Linked DNA regions of Macaca mulatta. The protein of the gene in region 2 purifies or fractionates together with the protein of the main gene of each other region. This does not show direct contact. Links are inferred from orthologs where the notes say so. Each region holds a gene or a part of one and is shown on either strand. Other genes may lie near its edges.

The links.
Region 1: the proteins of FBXL17 (region 2) and ZBTB18 purify together in Homo sapiens (co-immunoprecipitation; 3 studies listed by BioGRID and IntAct, with this or other methods). This does not show direct contact. The link is inferred for Macaca mulatta from reciprocal best matches to the Homo sapiens genes FBXL17 and ZBTB18.
Region 3: the proteins of FBXL17 (region 2) and KBTBD7 purify together in Homo sapiens (co-immunoprecipitation; 3 studies listed by BioGRID and IntAct, counting the BioPlex papers as one, with this or other methods). This does not show direct contact. The link is inferred for Macaca mulatta from reciprocal best matches to the Homo sapiens genes FBXL17 and KBTBD7.
Region 4: the proteins of FBXL17 (region 2) and ZBTB10 purify together in Homo sapiens (affinity purification with western blotting; 3 studies listed by BioGRID and IntAct, with this or other methods). This does not show direct contact. The link is inferred for Macaca mulatta from reciprocal best matches to the Homo sapiens genes FBXL17 and ZBTB10.
Region 5: the proteins of FBXL17 (region 2) and KLHL9 purify together in Homo sapiens (co-immunoprecipitation; 3 studies listed by BioGRID and IntAct, with this or other methods). This does not show direct contact. The link is inferred for Macaca mulatta from reciprocal best matches to the Homo sapiens genes FBXL17 and KLHL9.

Annotation. Positions count from the first base shown.
Region 1 is NC_133406.1:5,079,090-5,083,484, reverse strand, and holds the start of ZBTB18 (zinc finger and BTB domain-containing protein 18), read left to right. Parts: upstream 1-1,555; 5' UTR 1,556-1,707; coding exon 1,708-1,720; intron 1,721-4,064; coding exon 4,065-4,395.
Region 2 is NC_133411.1:116,700,540-116,704,163, reverse strand, and holds the end of FBXL17 (F-box/LRR-repeat protein 17), read left to right. Parts: intron 1-215; coding exon 216-356; 3' UTR 357-3,049; downstream 3,050-3,624. UniProt on the Homo sapiens protein: Substrate-recognition component of the SCF(FBXL17) E3 ubiquitin ligase complex, a key component of a quality control pathway required to ensure functional dimerization of BTB domain-containing proteins (dimerization quality control, DQC).
Region 3 is NC_133422.1:20,614,123-20,618,356, forward strand, and holds the start of KBTBD7 (kelch repeat and BTB domain-containing protein 7), read right to left. Parts: upstream 2,828-4,234; 5' UTR 2,519-2,827; coding exon 461-2,518; 3' UTR 1-460. UniProt on the Homo sapiens protein: As part of the CUL3(KBTBD6/7) E3 ubiquitin ligase complex functions as a substrate adapter for the RAC1 guanine exchange factor (GEF) TIAM1, mediating its 'Lys-48' ubiquitination and proteasomal degradation.
Region 4 is NC_133413.1:91,031,335-91,034,944, reverse strand, and holds part of ZBTB10 (zinc finger and BTB domain-containing protein 10), read right to left. Parts: intron 336-3,610; coding exon 159-335; intron 1-158. UniProt on the Homo sapiens protein: May be involved in transcriptional regulation.
Region 5 is NC_133420.1:77,885,093-77,889,368, reverse strand, and holds the start of KLHL9 (kelch-like protein 9), read right to left. Parts: upstream 2,867-4,276; 5' UTR 2,296-2,866; coding exon 442-2,295; 3' UTR 1-441.

The DNA.
Region 1 (4,395 bases), on a different chromosome or scaffold from region 2:
AACTACGTAAAGATTTGCATTGCTTCCCCACTCGGCATCCCCGCCCCCACCTCTCTGAAAAACAAAACCCCAACCTCACAAAATCTCTATGGATCCGCGGTAGCGAGACGTGAAGGGGTTGATTTGTGGAGTGGGAGTCGCTGGCCCATTGCGGTGCTTGGGACTCATTAAACTGTCACTCACCCCCCACCCCACTGGGTAAATGGGGTGATTAATGTCTGATATACTGGAATGGGGCGAGGGCATTTATGGAGAATAGGTGGTGTGGCTGGAAAGAAATTGATCGCCCAAGGATGTCTCCTGGACTAAGCGTTCATAATTATGTCACTCACCGCGAAGTTGGAGAAAGTTAGGTTTGTGACTTTGGGAAAGCGAGAAGGACAGGAGAGTCGTCGGGTTTTGTTACTATTTAACTCTCCGCCACGGCTTTCTAATGGGAACGAAGTGGTTATCACCAGGGCTGGGACGCTGACGCCTCAGGCCCCAGTTCCTTTTCTACCCCTCGCCCTCCCAAGAGTCTGAGGAGATGTATTTGACATTCAGAGATGTCGCAGCACCCTGCCCGGCACCGGTCAGCCCAGCCCGGGTCGCGTTACAGTTTCATCAGCTTTTAGAAAAGACCCACAAACTCTGGCTGAAAAGTTCTCAAACTTACTAGACCTGGCTTCCCCCCACACAAAGATTTTCTTGTGATCATTAAACATGACAGAGTGACACCCCCCACACACACAAAAAAGATTGTTAAGGGACACAGATCAAGGGGAAGGCAAGGTTCTGCTTTTTCTGAGCAGAAAGATCAGATATGCAGGTGCAGCATTCATTTTAAGTGACTGTAGCAGGTTGTATCAGTTTATTAATTGGTCTCGTTGAACTGAAGTACTTTCCAGGATTTCAGAAAGTGCAGTTTCAGCTTGTTGGTACTGAGAATTGAAATTTGCATTGACTGTGGCAGTGTAGGAAATTTTTCTGAGAAGGTAGTTGTAGATAAGTCATTAAATAAGAGTGAAATAATAAGGTGAACCAGTCCGAAGTAATGGTTCTGAAGAAGTCTGCCAACGTTTGAGACATGTATACCATTGTCTCAGCAGAAAAAAAAAGTGCGGTAATAATGTTGAAATGGGACTGGAGATGTCAAATGGGTTGGTTTAAAAATATCCCTAAACTGCCTTAGAAACTAAACGTTGGAGTTAAATAAAAGTGAATCTGGATTTCCTGAATAGCACCGTGGCTTGAGTGTGCTGTCAGTATGTAAGCCAGTCCACCAACTTAAGACAGAAGTGTTGCTATTCCATAAATACAGTAGAACTCCATATGCTGAGTTTTTCAATTTCTTCTGTTAGAAAGTTTGGAAAAAAAGGAAGACTTTGAAGTATTTTGTTTATACTAACAGAAGAGAAAAGTTCTCCTAAGAAAAAGCTGGTGGCAGGAGTGTAGAGGAGTAGCATATGGCATTAAAAGGAGCACAGCTGGAGGTAGCATTTCCATCTGAACATGATGTCAGAGCAGCTGACAGCCTGCCATCCCTCAGCCTTTTATTCTAACACACAGACAGGGAGTTAGTGTGTGCGGATCTGTGGTGGAGAAGGTATCTCATTCCTCTCTAACATCATCTCCACTTTGCATCTGTCTCTCTTAGTCTGCTTTTTTTCCACCGATGTAACAGACCTGGAGCCAGCAGGACTCAGAGGAAAGGACTTAATCAGGTTTATGTGTCCTAAAGGTAGGAGTAGCAAGAGATTAGATTGAGCATATTTCTGTTTTGGTGTTTTGTTTATTTAATTTTAAAAATCACATTACTTTTCTAACCCAGTTTAGGAATAATATATGAAATTGAGTATTAAATGAACATCTTACTGGAGTTGAAAGTCTTGAGCTTGTTTAGTTTTAATTTTTTATCCCTTTTACTTGAGCGAGTAAATAACTTTAATACACAGAAATATGTCAAGTTTTGAAATGTTAAGAAAGGCTTTAAAATACTGCTTTTGGAAATCACGTTGGATTAAAATGCTTTTTTGTTGTTCACTGCTATTTAGATTTGACTGGGATGGTGGTGGTGGGGAAATACTAAACTGTCTGGAATCCAGCATTCAAACTTATATGAGAAGATTATTCTAGTTAAGAAGCTAGATTGTTGTGTAATTAATTCCACTGTGAAACTTTATTCTTCAAAACATTGAACAGCACTGCTGAAACATACAGCTGTAGTGCTTTTGAAACTGAAGGTTTTTAAGAAGAAGAAAAAAAAAACTTTTGTCCCCAGGAGAATAGTTTGACTGGTTTCCTCACTTCTCTTTCAAATATATATTTAAGAGATCTTTTATTTCAGCATAACAATAATTATTTGCAGGAGTTTTTGTGTTAGCGACTAATTTAGAACTTGTAGATTTGAGCTGCCTGAATTGGCCAGACAGCTGTAATCGCACTCCTCTATTCTTAATCTCTTTATCTGGGCAGCAGCTGCCATATGGCCACAGTCAGCTGGATCAGATGTTTATAAGCTTCCTTCTTCGTCCCTCTCTGTCCTCTCAGCCTCCTAATTTGATCACGGCTACCTTGTGAGCTGCCCTCCAATCTTTATTTTTAGCCTTCTCAAGGATTAGGATTGATGTTAGCTGTGGGGCACTTAAAGTGATTGTATTGTAAATCTTAGTTTATTCTAGCAGTGGCATCTTGCAGAATGTATTTGGGGTTAGGATAAAGTTTTAGTCTGTCTTGGGCAAAGTGTAGAAGAAGAAGAAGGAGGGAAGTAATTTCTGAATATTAAATTAAGTGTATCTATTCCCAAAATGCACTTGCTGAGATGGGTGGTGTGGAGCCTTGCTTCTGGTCACAGGAAAGGGGAAGTCGGGTCTTTCTTTTTCAGGAGTTTACCCACTGCAGTTGAATTCTGACCCTTTGTACATCTTTGCCTCTCCCCTCCGTCCATTTCACTCTCCCTCATCAGAAAACCAGGGCAATGATGAATATTTGCAAGAATAGAAGCTAGTGGGAAAACAAAACTATATCAAATTAGATTGAAACAAAGTATTTTCTGTTGGCTGAGGTAAGGCAGAACCGGGGGGGGGGGGGAAAAGTTTCTCTTTTTCTAAAAAGGCTTTAAAAAAAAAAAAGTTGAACCTGTAAAGCTTTTGAGTTTTATTTAAGCCTTATATGCTTTTATTTTTAAAAGTTAGAATTAATTTTAATAGGAAATTCATTTTGCCTTGCAATGGATCAAAGTTTAGATGAGAATTTTCAGAGTTAAATAAAGCCCTCTGGTTCCTAATATTCTAAAAGTACAGTTTCTACGAAGAAATATAACAATTTTTTTCTCAGTTCATTTTGAAAAATCTTTGGATTTGTTCATAGTAAAGATGATCTTTTCCATCTGCTGGTGCAGCTCCTGATCTCGCACATGTGTGCTGTACCTGCAAATCTGAAGGCATTAACATCTGTTTTTATACACAGGGCTTTTGTTGTACCACTCTGACTTTAAAAGTAAGTTGTTTGCTAATTTCTGGACTAATTATGCAATTTCATTTTTTTTTCTTGAATCAGCCAAATGTGTGTGTGTGTTTAAACTGTGCTTTCTAAGTACAGTCAAGTAGCAAAAGTAATAAAAGGAAAAGGATGGTTGAACAAGTTTTCTTGTATGTTCCAGGATATGTTTGGGACTTTGTTTGTTTATTATATGAGTTGTTTCCTTTGAAATTAAAGCTATTTTGTAGGTTTTGTAGGACATAATTTGATAAGTAGAGTTAGTTAAATTTCTTCTGAAAGAGATCTAAATTCTTATTCTTAGTGAGAGACTGTAGTTAAAGGAAGGCTTTGAAAGCTTGGGTTCAGGGAAGATGGAGATGCGTCGGAGGCTGTCCGGCGGGGGTAAGGAGTTGAGAAAGTGCACGTTTTCCTTCTCGCGTTTAGGTCTCGTCCGTGTGATTTGGTAGTGCTGGGTCATAAGCCTGATTGAAATTCAGGGACATGTACCACGGCGGCCAAGGCGGAATTAATTTTTTTATATGGGGACTAGAGCACTGAAAAGTTGTTCCCGACCAGGCTCTAATGAGAACTTCCTCTCTCCCCAGGTTATGAAGACAGTATGGAGTTTCCAGACCATAGTAGACACTTGCTGCAGTGTCTGAGCGAGCAGAGGCACCAGGGCTTTCTTTGTGACTGCACTGTTCTGGTGGGAGATGCCCAGTTCCGAGCGCACCGCGCTGTACTGGCTTCATGCAGCATGTATTTCCACCTCTTTTACAAGGACCAGCTGGACAAAAGAGACATTGTTCATCTGAACAGCGACATTGTTACAGCCCCCGCTTTCGCTCTCCTGCTTGAATTCATGTATGAAGGGAAACTCCAGTTCAAAGACTTGCCCATTGAAGACGTGCTAGCAGCTGCCAGTTATCTCCACAT
Region 2 (3,624 bases):
AAAATCCCTAAGGGCAGGTGTGTTACTGGGAGATCAGAAAGGTCAGATGAAAGGGGACACATATCTTCTCACAAAACCCTTCCTCACATCGCTAGGAGGAGCAAAGCCAGGGCTCCTTGTGCCACCGTGAGTCAGCCGCAGCACATCAGTGAGCATGGGCAGCGGCATGGTGTTGGTGGTCTCTGTGCGTGATGATGGCTCTTCTTTGTTTGCAGGTCAACGAAGTGACGGTGGAACAGCTGGTGCAGCAGTACCCCCACATCACCTTTAGCACCGTCCTGCAGGACTGCAAGAGGACCTTGGAGAGAGCCTATCAGATGGGCTGGACCCCCAACATGTCTGCCGCCTCCTCCTAACGCTCCTGCCCCGCCTAGTCCACTGGCATCATTCAGCAGAGCAAAGGAGAATTGTACATTTGGGGGGCTGATCTCTCGGAAGGGTTTTAACTGTCGCCTGTCTGTATGTGTTCAAGTATGTGTATTTGTGTCTTGTTTGCATACTGTATACCAGAAGTGCAGTTGTCATTTGTTCCCAAGTGAGCTGGCTTTTTTTCTTAGAAATTAAAGATTATGAAAGCCACAAACTTTTTAGTTTTTAACTTCAAAGGCTTCTTTCTCTTTAAAAAAAAAAAAAAGTTTTTTTAATATAGAGTCAAAAAATTAGATGTATTATTTTGAGCTTCTAATTGCTGCCACTTGGAGATGTCCAAATAAGAAGGCCTTCTTTTTACATGGGATGAATTGTGCACTTCTGCTGATGACGACTACAATAGAAGTGATGTTACACGTACAGGCACTTACATTCTCACATACTCACACATGTGTGCACATCTACACCGGGGCTCTCATCTACTCCAGATCATTTCCTGACAGAGAAGCCTTCTTCCAGGCCACCGAGGTAGCATGTTATCCACTGTGGCACTGCCTAACTCCATGCATCCTCAGGTGGCCAACTTGCTATCTGGTAGGTGACTTGGGGACTAGAAAGAATAAAGCCTTTTCTAAATTGGTTATATGGAGGCAACAATCTGAACTCCCCTGGCCAGCTCACAAAAATTAATTATACATTATTCTACAAATGCATTCTGTTGAGCACTAAATATTTTAGTTGGTTTTACGTTAACATTGTGTTAGCTTTTATTTCCTGGATAGTAACTGGTCAGGATATATTTTAATGATATTTGAAACTAATCTTAGCATTGAAGCCACCAATGTAATTAATGGTGTGCAATTATTTTAAGAAGTACAGATCATTTCATTATTTTCTTAATTTTGGTAATTATTAAAGTGTATTTCTGAGATACGAGAGGGTAGTCACATTAATAGAAGATTCATGAGTGAGATATAAGTAGACAATCTTTCTACTGTTGTTGCTTTTTTTGCTTTGCTTTGGGTTTTTGAACAGGTTTTTTGGATATGTGCATGTTGTCATTTTGGACTAGTTCTCGTGCTACTACAAAGATCTATTGCTAGCTAATATATGAGTTAAGAAGGAAAATTAGAAAATCCGTTCATTGAAATTCTGTTTACACTTGTCAGAAATAAGCATTTCTTTGTTTAGTTAAAGATTGCCAGCTTCAGTTAAGACAAGACCTATCAGTAAATGAATATATGTTTTGATTTAACACATCTTTACAATTAATTCATATTAGGGACTCAGGCTCAAATAACTGTTCCTGTGTCTAGATTTATAATGAGGACATCAGGGAGCCTTTTTAAGCTAAAGAGTGATTATCTTTCACAGCAGAACTAGAAACAAAACCCTAACTTGTGAATTTGCTATTTATTTTTCCCTGAGTGAATATAACTGTTATTTGGTCTTTAACAGATATACTGAGGTTTGAGTTTCACTTTCTTTAAGTCTCACATTGCTAACATGACATTAGCTGTAAGAAGCAAAAGATAGCTTTACATTTGAATGCCATTTACTGATTTCTAATGATTCTCTTTTTTTGTAAACAACTGTTTCCTTTGATTATGTCAACATGTTTCTGATGTGGCATTTTTGTTTTAATCCCAATCAGTTAGGAAATCTAGTCAGTAAGCACCATGAGTATTCTTCCCGTCACTAAATGAGTTTCTAATTTAATTTGAAGGGAATAAAATTTGTGTAAGAAAAAAGCTGTTTAACATTAATAAACTGTATTTCTTCTTACACATTGAACTACATCATTTTCGTATCTACTTCCCCACCACTGAAATAGCTTATTTCACAATATTTTAACTGATTTTTAATCCAAAACTAATTTATAAGACAGTATGTATAGTAATAGTAGCTTGAGGGAATATGCAGAAGTTTAATTTTTATATATGTCATACTATATTTTAAATAGTTAAAAAAGACAAAAGAAGGGAGAGCCATCTATGATATAGATGGTACCATTTCAGTTCAAAGTTGTAATAACCTTTGGAGTGTTACAGTTTGGTTGTCAAATGGTTTCAGAGTGTATAATTGATTTTTTAAACGTTGCATTGTTTGCATCTAAAGTACAGCACTATAACATGCTTTAGCTTGCGGGGTGGGGTGGGGTGGGGACTTGCACTTATTCTCTAAAATGTTGACTAATCCAGAAAGCCTGATGCAACATAATCTGGAAAACTGCTTTGGTACATTTGTAGAACTCCATAGAAATACCATATCCAGCCTCAAAGCATTAATCTCAAAAAAAAAAAAAAAAAAAAAAAAAAAACCCAGCCAGAAAAAGGCATCACCTTGAGTGATCCTGTGATGGTTATTGAATGTGTTCTCATTAGATGCTTTGAAATGAGGCTTAAAATAATTTTTCTGGGCAATATAGAGTTTTTTTTTTTTTTGCTTAGAATGTCATAAATACATGTGAATACGTTTAATGCAGGGCTTTTTATTCTCTCCAAAATGTCAACAGTATTTTCAGAATAAAGACTATGAAATATATTGCTGTAGTGGAAAATTCTGGTCCTTTGTCTTTAATGTCTTTTTGAGTGGATAAAGAAAATTCACCCGGTTTGTAGTTTCTATATTTCCGTGAATCTTTGACCTTGCAATGGGTTGCAATAAAAGAGAAACAAAACACTGTGTCTTTTGTTTTATTTTAGAGACAATAAATGACTGCCCTGATGCTGGTTGGGTATGATGCATGCAGTGGTCTGTGCTTTTGTGTGTTTCACTACAGACTTATGTAGGTTTGACTAACCCAGAATAATAAACGAGACTGAGTTTAGGAGGTTCTAATTGGGCGGGTGATTATAGAGATAAGATTAAAACCTCAAGCATTTAAATAAGTGTGTATTAGTCTGTTCTCACACTGCTGTAAGGACATACCTGAGTAATTTATAAAGGAAAGAGGTTTAATTGACTCACAGAAAACCTAAAATCGTGGCAGAAGGGGAAGGAAACAAGTCCTTTTTCACAAGGTGGCAGGAGAGCGAAGAATGAGAACCAAGCAAAGGGAGAAGCCCCTTATAAAACCATCAGATCTCATGAGAGCTTGCTCAATACACAAGAATGGCACGGGGGAAACCACGCCCACGATTCCATTGCCTTCCACTGGTCCCTCCCACCACAGCTGGGGCTTATGGGAACTACAGTTCAAGATGAGATTTGGATGGGGACACAGCCAAACCATATCAAGTGAGTTGTTTAAAA
Region 3 (4,234 bases), on a different chromosome or scaffold from region 2:
ACCACTTTATTTTGAAGGAAAGTATACATCCTTCAAAACTCCACCAACAATTCCTAGTCCAGTTTTCTATTGTACAGATTAAAAAGTTAAATTCCTTGTGGCACTAACCAAAACTTAAAAATTAACAGAAGACTGAATTAATTAAAAAAAAAAAAGCATACTAACTAATCAAAACAATCCACTGTGCAATGAATATTTGAACAATGAAAAAAACCTACCAAGCATCCCAGTCAATTACATAGTTCTTGCTTCCATATTTTAATTTTGGACTTTCAGGAAGGTATATTATTAAACAGGTCGATTTTGTGGACTGTTTAAACCTTGTAGTATTTCAAAATATTACCCTTTCTAAACCAAATCTGTGGTCCTGGTCAACTTTTTTTTTTTCAAGAAAAAGAAAGGATATGTGTTTAAAATACATTCCGTAGCAGTAGAAACATCTTAGTGTCTCAAAATCTATTTACAAAGAACCCTGCTGATCCTGTGCATTTCGCTGAGGTGCTACTTGCACCCAGACTTCATCATCTGAAAAAGAACTTGAACTTCCTGACTCAGAGTCCAGCTCACTGAATCCATCTAAGTCCCATTCAGTACTAGACTCACTCCGTGCATCATCTTCCTCAGTAATAAAACTCTGACCAGGTTCAAGGCAGGAAGGATAAACACGGGCACAAAGGCAAATAAAGCCAGAGTCAAACTGCAAAAGGCCTAACATAGTACCTATATTAATCCACTGATCTTCCCTAGTATCATACTCATACACTGTTACTCGGTTCTTTTTCCATTGTGGGGTTGTAGAAGTGATGAGAAGCAACTTTCGGTCATGATTGACAATCTGGTAGTTGTGGGTCTCTGAATCCAAAGGAATATTACTAATCCGCCTCCATTCTCCCCTAGCTGGGTTGTAGACCTTCATGACTGGGATGTCACAGATACAATAGATTTCATCATTGAAAACACATGCTTCCTGAAAGTCACTGCGTTTAAGAGAAGCACAGTTCAGCCACATATTGTGGCTAGGATCATAGCAGAGCATGCGCTTACTGTTGACAGCATAAAGATAGTTCTGAACCACTATGAGTTCAAAGGAATAGAAGGAATGAGGGACAGGAGCCACCAATGCCCACTGGTTTCTCTGAACACTGTAGCATTCCACTTCCTTCAACTTAACTCCAGTAATAGGGTCTCGCCCCCCCAAAATGTAGATGTAGCCATTGAGATATGCCACATCCATGCCCTCACGACACAGCAAGCGATCTGCAAGTTGCTGCCAACTATTCTGAGCTGGTTTATACACCCAGAGGTCTTTCCTTGGCTGGGCAGCTAGATAGATGTCATGGTCTGGGGAGACACAGACAGCTGAGGAGGTAACAGTCTTAGTGTGAGCAAAGCTGGTCAAAGGTGATGGCATTGTGTAAATGTCCCCTGAGTAAGGGTCATAGCAGAGAAAGGGATCTCTGGGGTGTCCAAAGAAGATCACCATCTCCTTGGCACACATACCCAGTCTCTGGGGTGGATTTTCTGCTGCAGATACAAGAGAGTTGCTGCTGCTACTGCTGCTGCTGCTGCTGTTTGGCACTGGCACCAGAGACTTGTACAACAGGTCACCATAGCGCATCTGCAGGGCCCCTTCAATAACGTCCAGGCAGTACTTCTTCACAATGGGCTTGGTCAGCAGCCCTTCTAAGTAGTCCTGATCTTCTTCAGTGAAGTGCATCCAGCGCACGCACTTGAAGACTTCCGCAGCACTGGGACCCCGCTCCTTGGGAGCAGCCTCCAGCCACTGCACAGCTACATGGCATACAGTCCGCTCACTCTCTATGTCCAGACTATCCAAGCGCAGGACAGCCAGCAGCTGGGCCAGGGTCAGATCTGCTAGAGTCTCTTCCCGAATTGAACCCATTCGGCTGAGCTGCTTGAAGTTCTGAGCTATATAGGACTGGGCCTGAGATCGAAGCTTGTGATGGTCGAAGGCGTCTGCAAACTTGAGGATGGCGGTGCAGTTGGTCAGGTCAAGACGTCGGGCTAAGAAGGAGGCACAGGCTTCCCGCACATACTCCAGTTGCAGCATGTCGGAGGCTGCGTACAGGCGCTGCACATTGGCCTCGCTGAGAGACACACGACCCGTGTAGCAGTAGTCGACCAACACCTCGAAGGACTCGGCGTCCACATCGTGCATGGTCACGCTGGCCTGCTGGCTCTCGTACATGCCACCTGTGAACATGCTCTTGAAGTAGGGACACGCAGCTGCTAGCACGTTGCGATTGCAGGAAAAGAGGCGACCCGTGCCAGGCCCGCTGCCAGGCGTCACCACCTCGATGGTCACATCACACAGCAGCCGCGCGTCGTAGAAAGACTTGAGCTGTGCCAGCAGGGCTGCAGAATGGGCCGTGTCCTTTAATTCCTCTGGACCCGTGAAAAAGGCCGAAACCGAGGGCTTGGAAATCCTCTTGGGCCGCCTCCCACCGCGGGGGCTGGCGAGGCGGCGAGAGCGCGGGGCGTCTTCCCGGGACTGCATGGTGGAGATGGCGACGGGCGCTGATAGCGAGAAAGGCTGCCGGACCCGGCTCTGGCTCCTCCTCAACCTTCCCTCGCAGACGCTAAGACAAGCCGCGTCCTGGAACAGACTGCGGCACGGGCCGCACTTCTGAATTCAGCCCTAGCCCGCGGTGAGGCCTCCCTTTATTGCGTAGACAGTGGCTGACTCACCCTCTCTCACTCCCGCGCCCTTTCTCCGCCTCCGCTCGCCCTCACAGGACCCGCTGGCTTGGAGCCGCGGAAGGCCCCACTGCCGCGCTGGCGATCCCGCTAGGCGCCCAGGAGAACTACCGCTTCCAGGTTGCCTTTCGCGCCCCGAGGCCTGCTGGGGCTCTCGGACGGCCGGGCGGGGACAGAGGGAAAGAAACCGCTTTGCATGTTGGGAGTAGTAGTTTGTGTAATATCGCGAGCTTTCCTTTCGCTGACTGCCCTAACAGTAGAAATTAATTCTGGATATGATGGTGAAGTGACGATGTCTCACTATTGTTGTCCAGGCTGGTCTTGAACTCCTGAGGGCTCAAATTATCCTCCTGCCTCTGCCTCTCAAAGTGCTGGGATTACAGGCGTGAGCCACCGGGCCCTGCCAGTATTTCATAGGGTTTTGTGTGATTGAATGATACGTTACATAGGATACTTAGATACATATATTTTTTTGGTTAGAAGAACAATAAAGCGTTACCCCGTGCCTAGAATGTAGCCAATAATTGTTAGATTCTCTTTTATAATTTATGATAAATGAGGCACCCACTAATTTGAAACCAAAAAATTTTTAAAATTTTAAAAATTATTTTAAACCGCAAAATTTTACAAAGAACTTAGTTTTTAATTTTTATTCTTTTGAAAGATTTTGAAGGGCATTAACTATTTTCAATGTTAAATGGTACGTATTGGCCTTGTTTAATAAGGATGTCTTAGACGACTAGGTTGAGGTCCTAAAGAACGGTGTTAATAGATGGCCTCAAATATGCAAATCGGGCATATAAAAATAGATTATTTGCTACTCTCACTAACATTTCATCTCTGGGGAGCAGGAATATTTTCATTAAGCTCCAAATATGAGTGTTTTCAAGTCGTCTAATACAGCCTCTTTCACTGCCATTCCACATATCAATTAACAGATTCTGTAATTGCCTTTATTAAGGAGTTTTAGGGAGTATTTAACTCAAAATATTTCAAGAAACAGACTTTGTTCTGTACAAAAGCACGTGATTCTCAGAATTCAGCATTAGTACATGCCCTGACATTCCTTGAATTAACATACAGTATAGCCTATGCTTTACAAAAGTCTTTTATATTTGCATTGATCAACAGTTAAATCATCAAAATCAAGTATTAGAGATTTGAGGCAGGAAAATAGGGTCTGGAGGCAGGGAACATAAGGCCGATTCACACTTTAGCTATAACAAGAAATATCCTCTCCATAGGGTGTATGCCGAGTAAATGAGTTTGTAACTTTAATTCATTCTCTTCGTTTACATAGGGTATACACCAAGTAACCAGTGAATCCTCTAGAGGGTATTTAAACCTCCAGGAATTCTGTAACAGGGCCCTTGAGCCCTGTGCTGGGCCTGCGCCCACACTGGAGTGTACTTTCATTTTCAGTACATCTCTGATTTTGTTGTTTCATTCTTTCCTTGCTTTGTTTATGTGTTTCTTCCAATTCTTTGTCCAAAACGCCAAGAACCTGGACACCCTC
Region 4 (3,610 bases), on a different chromosome or scaffold from region 2:
ATTAAACAGAAAACTTGCTATCAAAACTTCTTATCTCTGAGAACAGCAATTATGTAGAACTACTGATACTTGTTTTTAAAAAAATGCAGAATATGAAAGCTTTGAATTCTTAACAATTATTTAATAATTTTGTATTTGTTTAGTTGACTAATACTTGCCATTTTCCCAAGTTTCTTGTTTTGGCCAAGATTCTGGCAATAATCCATACTTGAAATCATTTGAAGCACCTGGTATCAATCCATACTTGAAATCATTTGAAGTACCTGGTATCAATCCATACTTGAAATCATTTGAAGGACCAGGCATCAAACCATACTTGAAATCATGTGAAGTACCTAGTACAAGTAAAAAGTCTGAATTAGTAATGGTAATAAAGATCTATCTCTTATCAGAGTCAGAAAACAGAAAATATATTTATATCCTATGAGCATTATGATAGAACTTCTTAATGAGTTAAATAAAACTGTATTTTAGTCTAAAATTGAGATGTCTTCCTACTTTATTATCACAATTAAATGAAATACTATTCAACTATAATAGAAGAAATTCAGTTTACAAAAAAAAAAAAATCATGGGCCAGGCACAGTGGCTCATGCATATAATCCCAGCACTTTGGGAGGCTGAGGCAGAAGGATCACTTGAGCCCAGGAGTTTGCAACCAGCCTGGGCAACATGGAGAAACTCCATCTCCGTCTCTACAAAAAAATTTTAAACATTAGCTGGGCATGGTGGTGGGTGCCTGCAGTCCCAGCTACTTGGGAAGACTATCTGAGACCAGGAGTTGCAGTGATTCAAGATTGCGCCACTGCACTCCAGCCTGGGTGACAGTGAGACCATGTCTCAACGAAAACAAACAAACAAAAAAAAAGGTGCTGGTAGGGGAGAAAAAAACATGAGTATCATTTAATTGTGCAGACGCCACAAGAAATTACCCTTTTAAAGGATGGGTATATTCAAACCAGAACTCCTAATAGTTGCTTTTTTCTAACTACTCTATCACTTGAGATTATATCACCCTAAAGCCCAGCTATCAAATGGGATATTCTCCTTATTACAAACCCAAGACAGGCACATAATTTTAAGATTAGTATAGAAAAATGGACTGAGAATAAAGAATATACACAGGATAATTAAAAATTTAAAGTTCTATTACTATATCATTGTTGTTTCAGACATATTAGGGCAAGGTAACTGAATGCTCTCAGGGTTCACTGAAATTTCTTTCTAACTCCATCCTTAAATAAAATAACGTGCAGAAGACAGAATCAAAATAGAATAATGCATGTGTCTAAGGATCTTCAGATTAGCAAGGGTGGGAATTATATCCACTGGATTTAATTCCATCTTTAATGTAATTCCTTGGACCAGGAACCTTTTGGCAATAGGAATATATCCAGAATCTTCCACAACTATTGCCACCCTGATCCAATCAATCGTGAGCTCTAGCCCCTGGACTGTCTTCAGTAGCCACCAAAAACTTGTCTCCCTACTTCCACTGTTGCCTTCCTGGAGTGTGTTCTGAGGAGAGAAATCACAGATTCTTTAAAACACTACCTTAAGGCAGATCACCATCAGCTTACAAGGCTGCAAAGACTACCCACCCTCACAGTAAAAGCTAGAGACTTTCAGTATCTTCCAGAGCTTTACCTGGTGGAGCCCTGGCTTCCAACCACCCTTTCAGTCACTCTATTCCAACCATACTGACCTCTGTGCTGTTCCTCATCCATGGATAAGCATGCTCCCAATTCAAAGCACTTAAGCTGCCTAAAACACTCCTTGCCAAGATACAGTTCACTCAAGCAGCAATAATACATTTTCCTCCCATGGGCATCACGGTTTCAAAAGTAAAGAATGTTTACCCAAATGGATTTGCTAAGAATCATTTCCCATATATGTTCCCAGACATGTTGTTCCTCTTAAAAATTAAGATAACTTAAGATTCCTTTTGGTGAAAGTCTTAATACCCAACAAAGTAAAAATGTCTCTAAAGTATTTTAAAACTGCACATCATTACTATTACTGTAAACTGTGCTGTACTTGGAATATCTTGACCGGTTTTTGATGTAAAGAAAGCTCCCTGCACCCATAGCTACATATAATTCAACTATAATTCATCATAGTTGCACCTAATTCGTGTTTGGAAGTAAGCTGTAAGAATCCTAAAGTGAAGCATTTCTGTGTGAGGGATAAAGAATGGGATGGAGGTGGTAGCCTGGAGGTCAACCTACTGTTAGTTTCACATTTCTAAATAAAGTTTGAGCTTTATGATCCATATTTCTTGTCTAAATCGGTACAAAGTCAAACTCCAAGACAGCAAGAACTGTGCCTATCTTACTTGCCTTGGTTTTTCTACTGTCTAAGACATATGTCCTACAATTACTTGTAGAATAAATGTTATCTAGCACATGCCAATAAGTTCTTCTGACTTGCTTAAAATAACTTGGGAAACTAGTATCAAAAGACATGTTAGATGTTCTAATATCTATAATTATTCACAACATATAAGAATAAGGAAATAGGCAAGGCACAGTAGCTGGTGCCTGTCATCCCAGTAATTTGAGAGGCTGTGGGACGATCGCTTGAGCCCATGAGATTCAGGCCAGCCTGGGTGACAAAGCGAGAGCCCATCTCAAAAGAAAGACAGAAGAATATCCCTAAAACGATTTGTAAACTGAAAATCCGAGATTCAACATCCATGATAACAAGGAATGTAACACTCTATCTGCAACACAAAATGGTAATTCAAATTGAGTAAACCTTGCCCCAAATTTCTTCCATCTCTCCTAATTCTTACAACAGAGAATACTTGTAGGAATTACAAGAGTGGCCTGAATAAAGGTACTGTCATTGTAATTCACTACACTTAAGGATCATTGAGGTCATAGAGCTCTTCAAAATGGTGCTTACTGATCAATAATATCCTTCTGGGTACATTATTCCATAATAGAAAACTAAGGAAAAAGCAATGTAAGTTTTTGACATCAAAATCATCAAGCAAAGGCTGATCTCAGATGCAAAAATACTAATGAATCTAAATGTCCCCTTTAAGAGGAATAACCCCATATCAAAGATTTACAAATTTAAAACTTTACATATGAATTCACACACCCCCAACTAAACCCATTCTTGGACTAGATTTCAAAACTGAGAAAGCAAGTGCAATAACATCTTCTTGCGCTGTTAGCAATTTTCTGTACAAACAAAATCTTTAAAATTCAACACATCTGAAAACTTGTTTTATAAATTCTTTTAGACAGTAAGGCAGTTTCTTCAGAAATGTGGCTTTATTTTCGTCAGTACATACTGAATTCAGAGCCCATGACTACTTTTTGTAAGAAGTACCTCATTGTCTCTGTTCTCATCAACTTTGAAAACAATTCCAAAGCTAGTAAAACTGAAACAATCAATAAACATCCATATCTATCTTCAACAAATACTAGTTTTGTCACGTTTTAATGTACACACACACATACATGCTTTCTATGCACTATCTGAAAACATGCATGCTCATAACTTCAAGCCTAAATGCATCTTCTAGAACATGCTCCTAGATAACCACCGTATAAGAAATTTAAAATTGCTTATCACTTAACACATACTACATACTCTA
Region 5 (4,276 bases), on a different chromosome or scaffold from region 2:
CAATCGAGTAAGTTGACAGACATATCAAAAACTATGAAAAGAGGGAGGTAACTAGTATTAATACTGGGCAACCTTTCGTTAATTTTAGGTTACAGTGACCTCCCTCTGACATTTTGGAGTCAAAGATGAAAACTCGACTTTGAAGCATAATGGACATAATTACACATTTACCACAGTCATCTACAATTTTATATAACATCACAAAAAGACATCTAAACATTTTTCTACATCTTTTTTTCTCATTTGTTAAAACAGCTAGCTATGTTAAATACATCTTCAGAATGCATTTGTTAGTCACTTGATAAACATACTAAAAGCCAAACAAGACGAATAACATCAGTTACCTTTATATCTAATAACTGTACCAATCACTGTAAGAAGATACAACTGAAGAAGTATTAGATCACCCATGATGTACTGCAAAGGTGTTACACCTTAGACCTAAGAATGATCTGAAGGTGCTGAAAGAGGTGATTCTCTAGAAGGTGACCCAGGGTTTTCTTCAGGTGGAAAAACTGTGAGTGTACAAGCTCGAATGCCACCAAGTGACTCTGGAAGATCAAAAACTTTATGCCACTCATCTTTTTCTGGGTCATATTTCTGGACAATTTCTACCATACAACGATTATTCCAAGAATATCCACCAACAACGTAGATTTTATTTTCAAAGACCGCAACTCCAACATCACTTTGGCCTCTTAACATGGCGGCAATTGGGGTCCACTGGTCAAGGGTTGGTGAATAGTATTCACAGCTTAGAACATCATCATAATCACTTGTTCCTCTGAAGTGATTGCCGCCAATGACATAGAGCTTATCTCCAACCGTACACATGCAATGCAGACCTCTGACTGTAGTCATTGGAGCCTTTTGCATCCACTTATCTGTATCTGGGTCAAAACACATAAGCTCATTTTGGAAAGTGTCATGGGTAATTCCTCCTGAAATATACATTAAGCCTCCATATACTGTTCCAGCATGGCCATAGTGGGGTTCACTCATTTTTGCAACATAGCTCCACTCATTCATTCTTGGGTTGTAACATTCTACTGTGGCCAGTTCACCAGCTGCACTGCGCCCACCAACTGCATACAAATGTCCTTTGAGGGCACTCAAGTGAAAGAATGTACGCTTTTCATTTAATGATGCAACCTGCATCCATTTATTATACCGAGGATCAAATCTGAAAACTGTATCAACAGCAGTTTTTCCTTTTGTATCATAATTACTTTGACCACCAACTACATAAAGAAAGTTTCCAATGACAGCAATACCATGCTGGTAACGGGGAGCATCCATCGGGGCTAAAGATCTCCATTCTTGTGCCCTTTCATCATACATTCGTAATTCTTTACTGACAACCAGCTGCTGCCTCAAAACTCCTCCTAATGTAACCAAGTGAGTGGAGTCAGATCGAATGGCAGTTCTATCTGACTGCATCACTGGCTGCATATATGGCATCATTTGGTAATTGCTGGCTTCCAAAAGCAAATTCACGCAGGTATTGTCTGTTCTCATGAAATCTACTGTCTGCACGTAATTGATGAGATCCTGTGGTGTCATCAGTGGGAATCGAATATTCTTCATTAATTTTGCAGCATAATCCATCCGAGGGTCTTCCAACCTTAGCCAGCGACAGGCTGCCTTAAAGAGTTCGAGTTCGGTACAGTGCTTAAGACTATTACTGGAAAGCACAAAGGCAAGCCGTTCAAAAGGGAGTTTTAGAAACTCCCCAGTACTCAATAAAGCAGGAAAGTTCTTCAGGATGAAATTATTAACATATTTATCCACTTCTATGAGATTGTAGGTGTTAGCAATTCGTCCAACCTCAACACAGTTATCTAAAGAGACTCCTGATATAAGAAATACTTTACAGAAATCCAAAACGGGTAATATTTGTAAAAAACTAGCAGCTTCAAGTGTGTCCTGAAGATTGTCCATATTAAGAGAAAGTTTTGCAGTATAAATAAAATCAATGATTTTCTTCAGACCAACCTTGTTCACCCCATGAAGCTTAATGCACATCAGATCTTGTTCTTTCATTCCACCTGTGAACATAGCTTTGAAATAATCACTAGCAGACGCCATCATAGCTCTGTGAACAGGGAAGATTTCATCTCCATCACCTGGTACCAGAGTCACATCACAAAGCAATCCTTCTATTCTAAGCTGATCAAAGCCTTGCAGTACCACCGAACTGTGTGTATTGCTGGTAAAAAAGCGTGTGGTTCCTGCCTTACAAGGCTGCAAATGGGCAGAGACGCCCATTTCGCCGTTACCAAGGGACACTTTCATGTGAAAGCTTTCCTCTTGCACAGAGATGCAAGCCGGAGAAAGAAGTTATAACCGGAATGTTTTACAGGCAACGAGGTGTCCACAAAGAACAGAAAGCTCGTTTCCTTATCAAGGGAAGGCAGCCACTGCGGCACCCCTCAGGCCACGCCAGTCAGTCATCCACTGAAAATCGCCCTGTAGCAGGACCACAAAGGGCTGTGGACCTCAAATCTGATTATTAGACAGATGATTCATCACCTGAAGGCGGTTAAATGACCCGGTTCACCTCGTCCGGCCTGCGCTGCCGCTCCTTCTGCAGTTCCGCTTCGGGCAACGAAAAGGCGCCGCCACGTACTGTGGCTCCACGGCCCGCTCGGCGGCGGGTCCGGGAACCTCAGCGAACGGCCCGCTGCGCCCTCCGCTGTACCTAGAGTGTCGCAGCGGCCACCGACCTGTCTTTGAGCAAGGACCTGGAACACAGGCCTGGGACTGGGCTTGGGCCTAGAATACCGGCCTAGCCCCGACGCCGAGCCGCTCCTTCCGGAAAAGCTTACTCCCAGGATCCCGCGGGGTGGGAGCGGCCGTAGCGGCTACTGCGGCTGCGCGGCCTCCAGAGCTCGTCAGTGGGCGGGCGTGTGGGGGTGGGGAAGGGGGAGGAAGTGTGCGGGAGGCGGGGAGGGCGGGGGTTGAGGAAGACGAGCTGTCTGGAGTGGGCGCGAGCCCGGCTCCTTAGATCTGCCTTGTATGTGGGACAAAATAGGACAGAATGTGTGCACGTATATTATGCTGCATGTTTGATGTAAGTTTTTCACATATCTGAGCTCTTACGTTCCCCAAATGCATACATTTTTTAAAACTTTGCAATTCCTAGTTTCTGTTTTTTTGAATAACAGTGAAACGCGGCTTTTGTATAAATTGAGAGGAAACCTGGATGCTTAATTTTTTTTTTCCTCTACAAAACAATAATTGTTATCCCACATTATGTAATAGATACCTTAGTTACAATTTTGGTTCGTATTTTCAAATTTGTTATAATTTCAAAGGCAAAATATTTGTCTCTACTAGATTGTTACTTTATTATATAAATGGTATAGTCTAAATTTTTGGCTTGAAATGCCTTTGTTTTCCATAATTTTAAAAATGGCTACATAATTTTTCAATAACATACTATAGTTTCCTTTGCCCATTGTTTGTTCCTGAATATGTACCTTCTTATCCTCCATTGTTTTATAGAATCTGTAGTAAATTTACAGAATCTGGTAGCAAAATTTTAGCCCTGTTATGGATAATATTTAGTAAAATGCTGATCCAAGACAGTATTTCCAAAATATTATCATGAGCAATGTTTGTGCCTTTCCCTTCTGCTGACTTTTCCCTTTTTAAGTATTTTATTAATTTACATTTCTTTAATTAGTGGTAAATTTAAATTTTGACATACAAATCAATGTATACTTTGACACAGTTTCTTCCATTTTCCAAATTTTGAAGTTTATGTCTTTTAAGTCCTTCTAGTTCTTTAAGTGTGTGCAAAGTAAGAATAGTCATGTTTTTATTACACTCTCCTCATTTTTATGTAAAAGATAGCATACCATGTACACTGTTCTGCATTTTTCTTTTTTCACTTCAAGATCTTCCTGAATTACTATAGAGAGCTTATTTATATATATATATATATATATATATTTTTTTTTTTTTTTTTTTTTTTTTTTTTTTTTGAGACGGAGTCTCGCTGTGTCGCCCAGGCTGGAGAGCTTATTTATATTTTTAAACAATTCTATTGTTGCCCTCAGAGTTGTTATAAGTTATTTAACCAGTGCCCGATTGATGGACAGTTCATCTGTTTTGAATGTTTTCTATTGTTTCCGATGGATGGCAGCAAAATTCAGAAGGCTTAGACTACCACTGACCTCCACAAGGTGCTCCAGCAGATTGTCAACCTATTCAACACAAGAGGTTGGTTGGAATGAAACTGGCCTGGAGAAATTATTCACTGAAATTTTAT